Schizosaccharomyces pombe: one gene and its partners. Changing the gene in region 1 together with any one later gene gives a genetic interaction. Each region holds a gene or a part of one and is shown in the gene's direction. Other genes may lie near its edges.

What was found. A genetic interaction does not mean that the proteins touch.
Region 2: mutations in naa38 (region 1) and pro2 together harm fitness more than expected from each alone (negative genetic interaction), as found in Schizosaccharomyces pombe (one large-scale study listed by BioGRID).
Region 3: mutations in naa38 (region 1) and spc34 together harm fitness more than expected from each alone (negative genetic interaction), as found in Schizosaccharomyces pombe (one large-scale study listed by BioGRID).

Annotation. Positions count from the first base shown.
Region 1 is NC_003423.3:672,925-682,014, forward strand, and holds naa38 (putative NatC N-acetyltransferase non-catalytic subunit Naa38), read left to right. Parts: upstream 1-3,812; 5' UTR 3,813-3,836; coding exon 3,837-3,984; exon of another isoform or gene 3,985-4,132; coding exon 4,133-4,203; 3' UTR 4,204-4,658; downstream 4,659-9,090. Other genes in the region: AP-1 adaptor complex beta subunit Apl2, read right to left, coding at 4,659-6,710; knk1 (AAA family ATPase), read right to left, coding at 7,625-7,842, 7,890-8,298, 8,347-9,090. UniProt on the Schizosaccharomyces pombe protein: Component of the NatC N-terminal acetyltransferase, which associates with the ribosome to acetylate nascent protein chains in a cotranslational manner.
Region 2 is NC_003424.3:2,026,708-2,030,652, reverse strand, and holds pro2 (glutamate 5-kinase), read left to right. Parts: upstream 1-1,785; 5' UTR 1,786-1,900; coding exon 1,901-1,955; intron 1,956-2,079; coding exon 2,080-2,378; exon of another isoform or gene 2,379-2,454; coding exon 2,455-3,309; 3' UTR 3,310-3,445; downstream 3,446-3,945. Other genes in the region: ER protein disulfide isomerase Pdi2, read left to right, coding at 345-1,424; cytochrome c-heme-linkage protein Cyc2, read left to right, coding at 3,690-3,945.
Region 3 is NC_003424.3:3,673,199-3,676,405, reverse strand, and holds spc34 (DASH complex subunit Spc34), read left to right. Parts: upstream 1-1,511; 5' UTR 1,512-1,611; coding exon 1,612-2,106; 3' UTR 2,107-2,707; downstream 2,708-3,207. Other genes in the region: ABC family Fe transporter Atm1, read right to left, coding at 1-880. UniProt on the Schizosaccharomyces pombe protein: Component of the DASH complex that connects microtubules with kinetochores and couples microtubule depolymerisation to chromosome movement; it is involved in retrieving kinetochores to the spindle poles before their re-orientation on the spindle in early mitosis and allows microtubule depolymerization to pull chromosomes apart and resist detachment during anaphase.

The DNA of each region.
Region 1 (9,090 bases):
GAACAGATGGTAGGCAAGCAGCCGTTTAATCCTGACTGATTTTAAAAATAACTTTTTTAACCTTCCTGACCATATTGCAATGTTGGATAAAATATTACCGTACCGGATTTATCCGAATGCTTGAATGGCTTGAGATTTCCCTATGTGAGTACTATCTTAAAGAAAAAAAAAAAAAAAAAAAAAGGAAAGGAAAGGAAAAAGAGAAAAACAAAGAGATTATTTTCTTCAGTCCTTAAAAAGTCTATGGTGAAACAGTAAACGAATTTGGGAGATTTATTAGCGAATTTTTTTCCATTCCTGCGAGTAACTGATGTGTTCCATTTTATATACTTGATGAGAGAGCGTCTAAAAATTTTATACTGCTTTTCTGAATTTACATAGACTAATAAGAAAACCCGCACTAGATAGGAAGATTGACTAAAGAAGAAAGGAACAAAATTTACGACTTAAATCCAGTGATCTGACAAAATCTTCTGCATATTGCCTAAATGTGATGATTTTTCGTTTAATTTCCAGAAATAACATTGTTTTTATTTATGATTTAATCTTATTGTCACGTTCATTTGTTGTTTTCTAGTTTCATGTAGATCGTCGTCTCTTTAAGCTCACTTGACTATTTGGGGAAACCTGGGTAAACGAGAGAAAGCATCGCTCTACAAAAATAGATTTGCTAAAATATAAATTGGTTTATTCATAGAAAACTTACATAGATTAGTAACAAGTACAGAAATCTAAAACAAACTCTATCGTAAGCTTATTCGAAGGTTATAAATGTGGATGATGGGTGAATAATTGAATAAAATGAATGTACACAAGGTTTTCTATACGCAACGGTGTTGTATGGTATTAAAAAAAAAAGATACCTTGCAAATAAAAGGAGGATAAATTGAAAACATTAATAAATTAAAAAGAAAATCAACATTGAGTAAAAGCAAATAAAATAAATCAAAAAGAATAAAGAAAAAAATAAAATAAAATAAAAAATAAAAAAATGATATGCAATGACGAAAAATTATGAAATATACAATTCTATTCTATTTCATTTAATTATTAAATTTAGTGGACGTAAATTAAAGAGAAAATTCAAATTTAATATAAAATTATTAATTTTGTAAGTTTAGACACAATAATCCATCAAGTAAGCATAACTCTGACATAAAGTAAATAAAAAAAAAAAAAAAATTAAAAAAAAAAATTTAATAATAATTATAATAAAAATTTAAATGAAAAACTGTTCAACATCAATACTTATCATAAATATTCCGACTCAAAACACTTCCTCTAAGAGTTTTTTCATCTCACTCATAATACTTTTTCTATCCAAATTTCCGATGTTTTTTCCCATACCATACATACTGTGGCTTAAACTGATAACTTACTATTCCTCCTTAACAGCCAAGAGTTGACTGTTTTACCAAGTCCATTTCGAACTGCTATGATCGTTTAATAATGTCATTTTGCACATATTTGTTTGCCATATGCATGCACATTTGCCATGCCCCTTGTCCATCTTCTATGTGCTGCTGGAAAGTCGGGTAAACGGGTAAAATTGAAGGTTTGTAGCATGTGTGTATGTGCTATCCCATCTAATGAGCTTGGATGGAGTTATTTGCTTACTGATATTGCAAAGGGGGAAAAGCGAATTGGAGACTTTTTTCTTGCATTAGAAGGGTACTATTGATTACCTTTTGTTTAATAGGGCACCTTGGCAGAATGCGAAAAAGTAAGCCAGAAAAAAAGGAAACTCTAGAAAAAGAGAGGCAATTGATTAAAGAGTATTAATAATAATAATATTTAAAGGAAGAAAAGAAAAGAAAGCCAATAATCGACTGCTAGAATATCCAACCCATTTAAATTTTTCATTTTTTTAACGAACTCTCGGCCCATCTCGAAAACATATTTTATCGATACCAGCCTTCTACTTCATTAACAAGGATAGAGTACCGATGGACTACGATAGGTGATTTCGCTGCACCCGATTGCTGTATATTGTATTTCGCCCCTGTGACCGTTAAGATTTTGGTCAGACTGAGTGCAGCTTTCGGGGTGCAATAGTAATGCCAAAAATTCAATGGCGTGACATGCGATAATATCGAAATTTCTGTAATGTAAAGCGACTCAACTTTTTCCTGTTCGACAAAATTTGATCATAGGGGAAAAAACGAGATGAAGTTTGGCTATTCATATAACGATGAATTTTATGTGCTGGAGGGAGCTCGGTTGAACCTATTACCATAAGTATTTTTTACAAACACATAATTTTACTGTTTCGTAGCACGGTCTATTATTGTAGAAATGTTTTAACCTTTATAAGCGAGATAAAACAGTCAACTCGTTACGCAAACTTATCGACACTTTGCGAGAGTTAAAGTTACCAAGCTTTCCTACATCGCTGGTTGGAAAGACATAGTTAAAATGAAGCTGGTTTGCTGGCTTTCAAAATAGGAAGATTTCCCAATGTTTTAGTATATAACCGAGATCGCTTAAAATACTTTACTCTGATATCAACAACTCTATGTTCATATCCGTTATCAATCAACAGGGAATTGAGGAACCGTAGCAGTTTTTGTTAAAGTAGAGAAAATGTCAAGTGACCCATAAACTTGTAAATTGGAGATGAACGAACCCCTTAAAAAACCCATTAACGAAACGATTCCCTCTTTTTTTCTCATACAATGAGTTCTTAATAATAAAACTCACATGACAAGTCGGTTCATGAATTCACTTTACTTTGCACTAGACTGCTACAATTCCCTCTCCTTGAAATTTCCAGTACTGCATTGGGACGAAGTTGCCTAGTGTCTTGCCGTCGAAAGGCAGTTTTTGACTCGGCAAGCTTAGAACGTTTTCATGAAACTCTATCAATTGCATAAATGGATGCAAAGACAAACTATTCACGGCATTTGTTTAAACTATTTTTGGATACCGCGATGTAAATAGTATGTATACGGCCTTGATATCCTACTGTACCAACTGTATACTAAATAACGATGCGAAGCGTAGAGGGTTGAAATCAGTAGGAAAAAATACCTACTTTCTGGATTATAATTTCAACCATTCTTTATGAGAATACATTCATGTTGTATTTAGGATCGGTAATTATAGTAATCTACCTTCTCTTTCATCAAAACACACTCTTCAACATGCTAAAAGATCGATACAAAATAAAATCGCAAATGGGATAGTCCGCGCTATGTTATAGAGCATTACGTTGCCATTACTCACCCCACATTCAGTTACTCTATTATACGTAGTTTGTGATACTTAAGGTGATATCGTATACTATGTAAAGACATGCACCAATTCCGTTGTTTAAAATACCAATGTTAATTGCACAGTTTTCAATTCTCCCTAATGTTACGCAGTTTGGTATCTGATTTAAGGATACGGAGAACTGCGGTGAGTTTTCCTTATGGTCTATTTATATTACAATACACAGGTTGTATAAGTAGCAACTGAGTATAGGTATTGTATTAACTGGGTTATAATGTTACCTATCACTAATATAGCTCATAACTGAACTGAGGAACGAGGTTCAGTTGTAACGCTATTTATAATATTTCTAAATAGTTGTTATTAACGGGTATCTATGTATATAGACGGATAATTACCCGTGATTATCAATAAACGGATCTTAGCTAGTATTCCAACATATGACATATAGTGATACGCAACGTAGTGTATCATAGCATAGCGTTATATTAATGGCACTACATTACTTTTTACAATACGATGTTCAAATTTTGTGCATTGCGTTAATGTTTAGTATTTTCAGAGTATGTATATCCACTGCTATTGATTTCACTTCCCCCAAGCTTGATGAATTTTCCTTGATCATGGAAAATGGAGAGATTTTACTGACCAGCTGGCTCAATCGGTCAGTTCATATTGAAATTTTTGATGAGAGAAAATTCATCGGAAAGTTCTTGTGCACTGACAGAGAAGGCGCTGCCATTCTCTCAAATACCACAGAATACAACAAAGGTAAGATTGATATGTGTTCATGAATAGCGCGTCCCTCAAATTCAAGTAAACTTTCGCTGGGTTACTGTTTAAATTGAAAACAAACGTTCCAGCTAGTACCTCTTTCTGTTTTTCACCAATTTCGTCAAAACTAATATAATGAAATCAGGCTTCTCTAGAGCTTTGGGTTTAGTGGTGATTCCAGGAAAGCATATCAAAAGCTTCTCCGTACGTGCCTAAAGCACCCATAAATCTCCTTAACATTTTCATCTCACTTACGTATGTATGTATATATATATATATATATATATTGGAATGAATTCAAAAACGAATATCGCCAGGGATAATCATTACATTCGTACAGATTAAAAAACGCCTATAATTAACATTACAATCTGTACCACTCGTGATAGCACCTCAGTGATAATGATTACTGCAATGAGCAGTCCCTATTTTTGCTTCGCATCCATTTTAACAAATATTTTTTTATTTATTTATAAAAACGAAAGAAGAACATGCTTTCTATGTTAAAATTGACTTTCTGATTTGGGAAAAAACAACAATTGAAACATATCTTCATAAACTAGATGTGCATCAATCAACCTTATCCCGTTTTTCCCATTAGACAAACGAAACGAGATAAATATTAATAAAACAAATCATCATCTATCATGCCACTCATCTGTCGTTTATCTTTAAAGCCCTAACAGATCATCTGTTGCCGATCTAGCCTTTACAGGTTCAGCGTTATTTGTGCTCGGTGCCTCAAAAGCCATGAACAAATCCATTGCACTATTTGAGCCCGACTGAGGTTGTGCGCTGGTTATTGGAGAATCACTGGCAGACGTTGCGCCTGGATCAGTAAAATCAAGGTCAAGCAAATTTTCAACGTTGGCTCCTTTTTCAATAGCTTCATGAACATTGGCTTCTTCAATGTTCAATTCTTCAACAGCTCGACGCTGTATTGCGTCTGCGCCAAACTTGCCCTGGCCAATAAAGGATTCCGGTAATTTATGGTATACAGAAGCAAGAGTTGTGATTTCACACAACAGAGCATCCAAAAGTGCCTCAGGTAGATTGTTATTATAAGATACGGAAGGCTTTTCGCAACAAACAATTTTTTGAGCTTTACGAACATTTTCAGGTGTCAACAACCGCTGATATGCAAAGGCACGATCCCTTAAATCCTGATTGCTTGATTGATTAATTGCATAATTTAATACTTTCTGTACGAGTTCTTCATCGTTTCCTTTGCCGTTCATCAAACTCAATTTTACAACAGCCGTCAGTAAAGCCAATTGAATCTGTAAATCTTCATCCGCCATAGTAGAAATCATTTCGGATAATAGTTTAGAAGAAGTAGGTATAACGTGTGAAAATTCCCCTAAAATCCAAGCCATACTACTACGGGCTCTAGGGTCACCAAGCTCCTCAATGACACGAGAAAGATATGGAAGTAATAAGTCAATCTTTTGAGGGTATTTGCGCAAAACCGTTTCCATCACCACCGTGACTTCTTGAACCATATAACTAATATTTAACTCATAGATTTCAAGAAATATGGAGATGCAATCATTGATGACGCTTGGAACTTTCAATGCAACGTCTCCAAGGCATTTAATCGTTTGTTTCACAAATTCTAGTTCAACTTCGGAAACGTACGCTCGAAGCTCGGAAATGGTCTCGTTAATGTTTTCGTCACATGCAAGCATTGTAATTATCTTTAGTTTCTCCATTTTAATATAAAGAGGATCATTATATTTGCAGAAAAAAACCCGAGTTTTGACATCAAAAATAGAAGGCCTCTTTTGTAATATTAAATTAATGTTCCGTAAGGCTACATACTGGATTTCTGAGTCCGTAGAAAGTAGCGTCAAAAGAGGAGGAGCCATTTTTTTGTACAGAAAGTCTGTAAAGTCACTGGAAAAGAGAGGGATATGTACCATTATGACTTTCACAGCGGACAAAACGACACCACTATTTGCATGTTGGAATTGAGGAACCACCCTTTCACAAACATATTCAGCTTCCTTGATATCAGAAGTGCGAAATCTAGCTAAAGAATTCAAAATAGTAATCCGACCCCACTCATTACACTCACTCAAAGCAACCATTAGCCTGTCTGTCATCGTGTAAACTACATTAAAATATCCCTTTTCAGGGTCCTGATCATGAATTTCAGCAAGTGAGCGGACTGCATTAGCCACAACCACAGGATTCGGATCAGATACCAACGCCTGCAATTGTTCGATGAAACCATTTGATGCACAGTATTCTCGATCAAGGTCATACATCTTTACAACACAAACCGCTGCAGCCTTACGAACATAGGGATGCTCATCCTTCAAAGCTTTTCGCAACGGATCTGCCAAATAGCCAATGATTTTATTTACCCGAATGCAACCCATAGTTCTAATTGCCAGAGCTCGTAAAGTAGGATTATATTCCTCAGAATCCTTTACAAAAGTATTAACGGCTAAAATACAAAGATCAGGGTGTGTTTTGGCATAGTTAATTAGATATAAATAAACCAGTTTTTTCAAGGTGATATCGCGAGTAGCTAGGTTCTTTAAAACATCGGGAAACAGACTAGACACATCCTTGCCAACAGTCATTGCGGCAATAGTCCGTTTCACAGCATCAATTCTCTCGTAGGCATACTGAGAAACTAGTCCCTTTTGTAATTCACTTGTTTCGCTTTTTTTAAATGCCTTAAAACGGCTCGATTGAAACAACTTTGGAACCATTCGGTACTATTGTATAATTCCGCTCTTTATGTAGCTCTTTTAAAGGTGGTAAACGTCCTAAGGTCAAAAACACGTTTACATATATAAAGCAGTGGTTCAATAATCATGTCAAGTCAAACCCATTCGGTGAGAAACACCCACTCCCAGAAGTAACAAAGGTGACAATATCGAATACTGAAATCCAATTTCTATATATTCATGATTTCATTTTCAACCTGCAATGCTTTAAACGCTACTATTATGACCTTTAAATAAATTTTAAAACATTTAATTCAGTATACAAACAAGAGGTTGAAATGTTATTTCAATAAAAGCTATAAGTTAATTGCCGTAAAAATGCGATTCAAGTAAAGCAATACCCTTTTCCAAACATTAAATAACTAATAATTATTGTTCAAAATTGGAGAATAGTGAAGGGAAAAAAAGTAGCCCAATAGGTTGAGGCTGTATGTAAACGAAATAAATATGACGATAAATGGAAAAAATAAAATAAAGAGAATTGATGGAAAATACAAAAGGGGAGCATTTGTAAAAGGCGCTGTCAAGTCGGCTATGATTTAAAATGTCGTTTATAGCGATAGTCAAATCACGAATACATTTTAGTTGTTGTAGGAAAGACGAAAATAAAATGAAGGTAAACAGAAATTAAAATTCGTAATAAGCCAAGTTTATGCAAAAGAAAGTTATTGAAACCACATGAAAATCAGCATCCACGATTCAATCCCTAAATGCACGGTAATTCTCATAATATCCAGAAAAACGATACCCAAATGATTCGTTAAGAAACATTAAAGGATAAAATTAAAAAGAGAGAAAGGAAGTTTGAATAAATTAAAGGATACCCTGCCTTTTTGATGCAAAAGAATATATGATTTCTTGAAAATATTAAAGGTAGAATACTCTACAAAGTTGTTTTAACGTTGCGAACCAAATTGTTTATTCCACTCTTCGTAACGATGAATACCCTCTTGTGAGACACTTGGACGAATAGTACGAAGGCTAGCTTTAAAATGATTCAAGCTGATCGGAGGTATCATCTCTGCACTGGTGGTAAGTAGAGCATCACCCAAGTTTCTTAAAGGACCCATTGCTGCGTCTTTGGCTAAAGCAGTGATATCAGAGCCTGAATAACCTAGATGGCGTTAGTTAACTAACCAATCGAATTATTTATATACATACCTTCGGTAAGATTGACAAGTTCTTCCAGATCCTCCTCCGTCAAACAGTGTACTTGATTATGAAGCAAATGAGAAAGATGTTTATATCTTGTTTCTTTTTCAGGTAACGGAATATAGGTTCTTTTAACGAATCGGCGTCGAGCAGCCTCATCAATACACCACGGAAGATTTGTAGCTGCCAGCACCAAAACACGGGGAGAGTGACCAGTTTGCTTGTCCGGAGCCGCATTAGTTAACGAAGACCATTGAATTAAAAATTCTGTTTTTAATCTACGAGAGCTCTCGTGCTCATTACCGCTGTCATTACGAGCGGAAAGAATGGAATCAATTTCATCAACAAAGATAACGCTACATGTCTGGCGCTTCGCAACTTCAAAAAGGGCTCGAACCAACTTTTCAGAATCACCAAGCTAAATCAAGGTTAGTTAAGAATGGGGTTAAATATAAAACTTGCTTACATATTTCGAGGTTAATGATGAAGCCGAAATCGAAAAAAATGTGGCTTTCGCTTCGGTCGCAACAGCACGAGCAAGCATGGTTTTGCCGGTGCCAGGGGGGCCAAAAAGAAGCATGCCTTGTACGGGTTCACGCAATCCTTGGAAAAGTTCCGGGCGTAAAAACGGATAAATGACTGCCTCTTTCAAGGAATTTTTAGCGTCATCTAATCCGGCAATGTCCGACCAGTAGACAGGTTCATGGTTAGAAATAATTTCATTCATAATAGCATATTCAAAATCACTTGAAGGAGTGGTCTGTTGAAGAGGTTCAGTTTGTTGAGTAGTACTAGCTGAGATAGTTTTTGACACAATTGTCTTAGAATCAGCGGTTGCCGGAGGAGATGTAGCAGGTGATCCGGCTGTGTCAGCGGAAGACGGTCGAGTGGAAGAACCAAGGGTATCATGAGAAGAGTTTAAGTATGGTTTATATGGGCTAGGATGCTTGCGCGATTTTCCATCGCTGGATGAATGCGATGCAGACGTAAGGGGGACGGCAGGAACATGGAGTGGAGGAATTGGCGCATGGAAGGAGAGGGGAGTGCTATTGTTAGCATTTTGATTGTTTGACACCTGAATAGAAGGGCTAGATACCGAATTGGAAAGCGTCGGTTTAGTCGTAGACTGACTTTTCATAGCGGTAGGAAAAGTGGTGGAATTCATGGTAGCAGAACGACCTGTATCAGAAGAAAGAGCAGAAGCAGAAGC
Region 2 (3,945 bases), on another chromosome or scaffold:
ATAACAGCAATAACTGAACTTAATAACATAGGTTCACTAGAGCTTTCTTGTATAATAGTTCAATCAATAATTTGTAGGTCTTAAAATGCGTTCATGGATGCGCTAGCGATATAAGCTTACCAAAGTGTGGAATAAAGAATACAGTGACGAATGAAGCTACTAAATAGTGCAATTTAGTGAATATTCCTTTTGTTATAGATAGGTAACATGGGTAACGATGCTCAGTAAGCTCATTCAAACATGACACAGCCGGCTTCGTACAGCTTACATTACCCAACGACATATACATACTTTTGTTGTACCTGTCCCGTATTTGTGGACACTGGAAAAGTAGAATACTTAGAATGAGATTACCTCTGCTGAGTTTTGTTATATTTGCGCTTTTTGCGCTTGTATTTGCATCAGGTGTTGTAGAGCTCCAAAGTCTCAATGAGTTGGAGAATACTATCCGAGCTTCTAAAAAAGGAGCATTGATTGAGTTTTACGCCACCTGGTGTGGACATTGTAAATCTTTAGCGCCAGTGTATGAAGAACTTGGCGCTCTTTTCGAAGACCACAATGATGTCTTGATTGGCAAAATTGATGCGGATACACACTCCGATGTTGCTGATAAATACCACATTACTGGTTTTCCAACACTGATCTGGTTTCCTCCTGATGGATCTGAACCAGTTCAGTACTCCAATGCTCGCGACGTTGACAGTTTGACTCAATTTGTGTCTGAGAAAACTGGTATCAAAAAACGCAAGATTGTCCTCCCTAGCAATGTAGTTGAGCTCGATTCTTTGAATTTTGACAAGGTTGTTATGGACGATAAAAAAGATGTTTTAGTTGAATTTTATGCGGATTGGTGCGGTTATTGCAAGCGTTTGGCTCCTACTTACGAAACTCTTGGCAAGGTATTCAAAAACGAACCAAACGTTGAGATTGTTAAAATTAATGCAGACGTCTTTGCTGACATCGGAAGGCTACATGAAGTTGCAAGCTTTCCCACCATCAAATTCTTTCCTAAAGATGATAAAGATAAGCCTGAATTATACGAAGGAGATCGTTCTTTAGAATCTTTGATCGAGTACATTAATAAGAAATCTGGAACTCAACGTTCTCCCGATGGCACTTTACTTTCTACTGCCGGCCGTATTCCAACTTTCGATGAATTTGCTGCTGAGTTTTTGGATATGTCAAACGCTGCCAAGGAAGTTGTTCTTGAAAAAGTCAAGCAGTTAGCCTTAGAGGATTCATCTAGATGGACTAAGTATTACAAGAAGGTTTTTGAGAAGATTTTAAATGATGAAAATTGGGTACATAAAGAAGCTAAGCGTTTGTCTAAACTTTTACGCCAGAAGAGCATCGCTTTGGCCAGTGCTGATGATTTTAAAACTCGCCTTAACATTCTAAATTCCTTCCTTCCTGGTAATCACTAGTGATTTGGAAATGTTTGCTACGTTATAGGTGAAAAAACTTAATCTTATGACCGTAGGTTTATAAATAAATCAACAGTTTCATGATATTTTCGATAAATACTGAGGAATATGTAGGTTAAAGTATTACCCTTTAACAATTTTTTATGTACTTATAAAAATAGATTTTCTCTCCATTAATGATTTGTGTCTTTTTTAGTTTCTACGTATATGATAAACTAAAGACAATAATTAATATTAAATAGAACGTTGTAGGTAAATTCAACAGCTATATACTCTAACAGGCTTTTATCCTTAAAATTGAAATCCAAATCCTACATATAATTATTCCTTATCAATGGGCTATAAGGCTTTCCGTTATTTTACCACTACTAGATGGGCCGTTGATTTGTAAAGGTGAAGACAAGTCGTATTCCACTAAAATTTATCCTTTTTTTAAAAAATAAATTTCAACAGTAACTTTGTAGATTTTTTTTAAAATGTCTCCGAAGTCGAAAAGCACAAATAAGACTTACACAATTGTCATCAAACTTGGTAAGCACGGAATAGTAAGCTATACAAAAGCATATGTATGAATTTTATATCTCACTTTTTCAAATATGTATTTCTTTGTTTGCTCGTTGTTGGCATCACAAACGCTTTGCTAACATTATTTTAGGCACATCGTCAATTTGTGATGAAAAGACTCATGAACCATTAATTTCAAATTTGTCACTAATCGTTGAAACCGTTGTCAAGCTTCGAAAGTTGGGTCATAATGTCGTTTTGGTTTCAAGTGGTGGTATTGCAATGGGCCTTCGTAGATTAGATTTACCTAAGCGTCCTTCAAAGCTTTCTGCTGTACAAGCAATTGCCGCGGTCGGTCAAGGAAGACTAATTTCCTTATGGGATACCTTATTTACACAACTTCGTCAGCCTATTGCGCAAGTTTTAATCACTAGAAACGACATTGCCGAGGTAAGATTCAGATAATTATTGTTGACACTTAAAAAATTATTTTAATTACTGACGGGTACTAACTATTAATATTTAGAGATCCCAATATGTAAATGCAGCGAACACAATTTCCGAGTTGCTACATTTTGGGGTAGTTCCCATTGTAAATGAAAATGATACTCTGTCTGTTCAAGAAATCCGTTTTGGTGATAACGATACTTTATCGGCAATTACAGCTGGCATGATAAACGCAGATTATTTGTTTTTACTTACAGATGTTGATTGTTTGTATACAGACAACCCACGTACCAACCCTGACGCTAAGCCTATTTTAAAAATTCATGATACATCAATGGTAAATGCAAACGTTTCCACACCCGGTAGTGGAGTTGGAACAGGGGGAATGAAGACGAAATTGATCGCTGCAGATTTGGGAACGTCTTCAGGCGTAAATGTTATAATATGTCGTGGTTCTAAACCTTCGAGTATATTCGATATAATCCGTCAGGAATCCTCTGATAATAAAAATGAGTCAGTTGAATTACCTCTGCATACCCACTTTGTAGCCAAAAAGCAAGGAAGGATCCGTGATCGACACTTTTGGCTTTTGCACGGCCTTAAATCACATGGGAGTTTGGAAATTGATCGTGGGGCTTTCGAGGCTATAACCCGTACAAATAGAGCAGGATTACTACCAGTTGGTGTAACCAAAGTACATGGCCATTTTTCAGCTCACCAAGCAGTTACGGTTATTTACAACGGAGAGGAAATTGGCAGAGCCCTTGTTAATTACAGCAGTACTGAAATAGATTTGATTAAAGGCAAGAGAAGCAAAGAAATTGCATCCATCTTAGGATATAACGAAACTGAATATGTCGCCTACAGAGACTATTTAGTAGTTCATGGTTTAAATTCTCATCATGATTCACAAGTTAGTTCTGATGAGCATTGATGTATATATTTAATCACTAGCTTATTTAGAACTACTAAAATTTGTTTTTGCTCTGTTTTTTACCTTTATTATTGGCTTACTGTTATTGAAATTTTTTTGTTATAGAAGGAAGGTTTACGAACTTAATATACAAAAACAGAACCATAAATATCTATTAGAAAATTTATTAAGATTTGTTTATTTTTGTTAAAAAACTATTAACCTTAGATAATAATCAGACGTTTTGTACTGAGTTGTGTAATTAACAAAGTACATTTTGTTGGTATTATATCGGATACTTCCTACGAAGCCTGTGATTGGATTTGGCTTTCATAAACGATGAATATAAGTACACGCAATTCCAACCTCCCCTTGATACAGTAAAACTTACAAAGAAAACAATGAGTAGCTCGACTTACAGGAAATTGCCTAAAATCTTAGCTGCAGGTCTTGCTATTGGTTGCGCAGGTGGTTATTATGCTTATAAAAATTCGAATAAGCCCCCAGGACTTAATCCCGAAATTTATGCTCCATTTACAGTTAATAAAATTACAGAGCTTACATCCGATGCTAGCTTGTTTTCGTTAGTTCCTCAGAGCCCTTCTGAACACCTTACTACTTTGGAACCGATTGCTAAGGTAACAATTCGTGATCCCA
Region 3 (3,207 bases), on another chromosome or scaffold:
GACGACGGAATACAGTTCTCCAGGATGTCGTCCTAACAGTAAAAAGAGCATAAAGAGCAACGGTTGTAGCAGCAATGGCCGAAAACGAAGGTCCGTACTTGTAAGTGAGAATACCACTCACCATAGCAATTTCAAGGGTAATAGGAATGATGTGTAACACCATGGAGGAAAGAATGAAACTAATACCTTTTGTACCACGATCCATTGCTCTAGTAATACTTCCTGTTTGCTTTGAGAGATGAAAATTCATGTCAAGGTTCAACAGATGTTGATAGACATTGCTAGAAACACTTCGAATAGCGCTTTGCGACACAATTGCAAAAACGCTATTCCTTAACTCTTGAAAAACGGTAGAAAATATTCTAGCAAAGCCATAACCGAGAACAACAGCTCCTACAGTAGACCACAATGCTCCTACTTCTTGAACAAGTGTTGTATTCATGGTATCGATAATTGATTTAAAGTAAAAAGGAACTTGGACGTTAAGAATTTTGGCAGCTACAAGTAGTGCGAGAGCCGAAACAACTCTAACTTTCAAATTAGTCTTCCCCTTGGGCCAAATATATTGAAGCATGTCCTTAACAATCATTTGTCCTGTTACATTTTTATCATCTGGTACATCGGAAGCAAGTTTAACAGAAGTATTCAGTGGCTCTTTTTCTTTTGATTTGTTATTCCATAACGCTTTTGAAGCCGAATTATTTCCATTTCTAAGTGGGAAACATTGCTTAGATGCAAAATTGGAAAACCGCAGTATATGTTGAAGAGGTAATATATTTGACTTTCTTAAAACAAGATAAGTTCCACGAGAATTAAGAAAAGAGCGAGCTGGAATATTTCTTGGCGAGCTGATTAATTTCCAGGGACATCGTTCTAGCATTTTTATTAATACAACACTTTAAGATGTCAGAGCTTCAAGCTGTTAGTTATACCCAATATACTGCTCTTCTATTTAAGATAATTAAAGTTTTTAAATCTATATTTAAATAGAATAAACTTGGCTGATAGAATATGAAAAACAGACGAAACGTTCAGTCAGAAAAACCTCAAATAGCCTCCAAAGAGGCAACTTTTTAATAGATGGTATATATGAATAAAAGAACTAAGAGAAGGATAATTCTCAAACCTTTAGTTCTATAAATCTGGCAGACTTAGAAAGTTGTAGATTTTGATTAGATCACGATTGCGAAGTAGAGTCCAACAATTGCAAACTCATCAAAACTGCACTGAGGATTACGAAATTTTTAGCGTGTATTAACCTTTATAAAAGTTTTACATATAATTATTAATGGATAATCTGAGCTGAAGAAATGTGTGCCTAAAGCGTAAACGTAAGAATGATTCGGTGTAGCAAATAAAGGAAAATAGCAAGGAATGAACGCAATGCTTTACCTTTGTTAAAATAATTTGCTGAGCGAGAACAGAATTTCAAAAACAGGCACAGGTGATTTCCATTATATCAAAGATACCAAACGTTTATTACGTTTTGGTTAAACCACCTGCACACACCCAGAGATTGCATACACTTTTGGCAACTCTGGTAAAGTGAATTGAAACATACCTTTTACTAATTACGAGTCGAATTAGTGTTTTTGATGACTTATTAAATAAATGTCTGATTTGTTGAATTATTTACAGTCTATTGCTGCTACATCAGAAAAACTTTTGGAACCGGAAAACCCAAACGCAGCACGTTTCACAGACGCGGTGCTACATACTCATGCTATAACTGATTTAATTCGCGATACTCAGAAGGAAGAACTAATTGCAGCTGAGTTCAAATCTCTACCGAAGGATTGGAGTGAAAGGTTGGCATCAGAAAACCCTGCAGACTACGTTGCTTGTATTGAGGAACTACTAGATATATATCCTATGCAAGGTGGCCGTGAATATTTGGAGACTCTGGTTGAGAAATACAACTTACATATGTCAGGAATTGAGAATTTGGAAAACGTTTTACTGGAACAGAAAGAGCAATTGCAGCAACTTGAAAAACGACAAACCGATCAGGTGTCTGCTAGGGAGAATATTCTACAGCGTGAAACTTCTGAAATCCAAAGACTTGAAAGAGAAATTGAAAAAGTGAAGCAACTGATACAATCTTAGGAAGGCTATTTGCGTTGGTAGTCAGATCGACTTTTCGTATTGGTGAACATTTAGAAAAGGAGAAGCGAGGTCGTTGTTTTATCATGGATTTGAGCAAAGAACAAGAAATGTATTTAAGCGAGGATATAAAAGACCATGGACTCATTCCTTTGAAGTTACATCCTCAAAGAAGCACCCGAGATATTTCTGATTGCAGTTATCCTTCGACGTCAGATGATCGATCGGCTTACTCCCAATACAAACTGATGAAGCTGAAGAGGAAAAAAAGAAGTCGATGTTTTGATATATCATCCTTTAAAAAGCATATTGAAATGTCGCTTGCTAAGAAAAAAGCAAGTTCGTCTACTGTTACTTTGAAGGCTACAAAAGAGCTAGAGGATTATGAATACCTAGAATATGAAAAACATAAAGAGAAGAGAAGAGAATCTTTGGACTGTTTGCTCCAGGAATTCTCTAAAGCGGCAAAGATATTGAACGAAGATAATTAGCAAACTAAGTACATTACAACTCAGGAGCATAATAACTCATTGTTTTTGTAATATTCTCATTTATAGAATAGTATGTGAAAAATACAATAATGTTCATGATAAGTTAAAGACGGCAATTAGATTACTGGCTCAACGCCAGCTTTTGCATTGGACTCATTTGTTGTAATGAGTTCTTAATATTTATACAAACATAAGTACATACTTGTTCTTAAAAGTTCTAAAAGATTTTATTTAAGATATAAATAAAAGTTCAATAGCATAGTATGATAGCAAGTAATGGAACACTATGTATTTATTCTATATTTGATTATTAATATAGAGTAAAAGTCAGGTTCATAGTGTTTCTATTGACTCGTCAACTATAATTATTTTTTGTTGTTACTGAATGATAGAATTTGAACGAATGTTTTAATTGCTAATACCAAGGCTGCTGCTCCACCTTAACAATCACACATTACGCCAAAAAAATTATTTACTCGATTTCTCAAAAAAAACAATAAAAAAGGATCAATAAGAATACCTTTATTAAGAAAAACTTCTTCTTTGGAAAATTAAAGAATACACTTACTGTTGTTTATTTCAGTGTTTGTTATTGTATTCACAATTATTTATT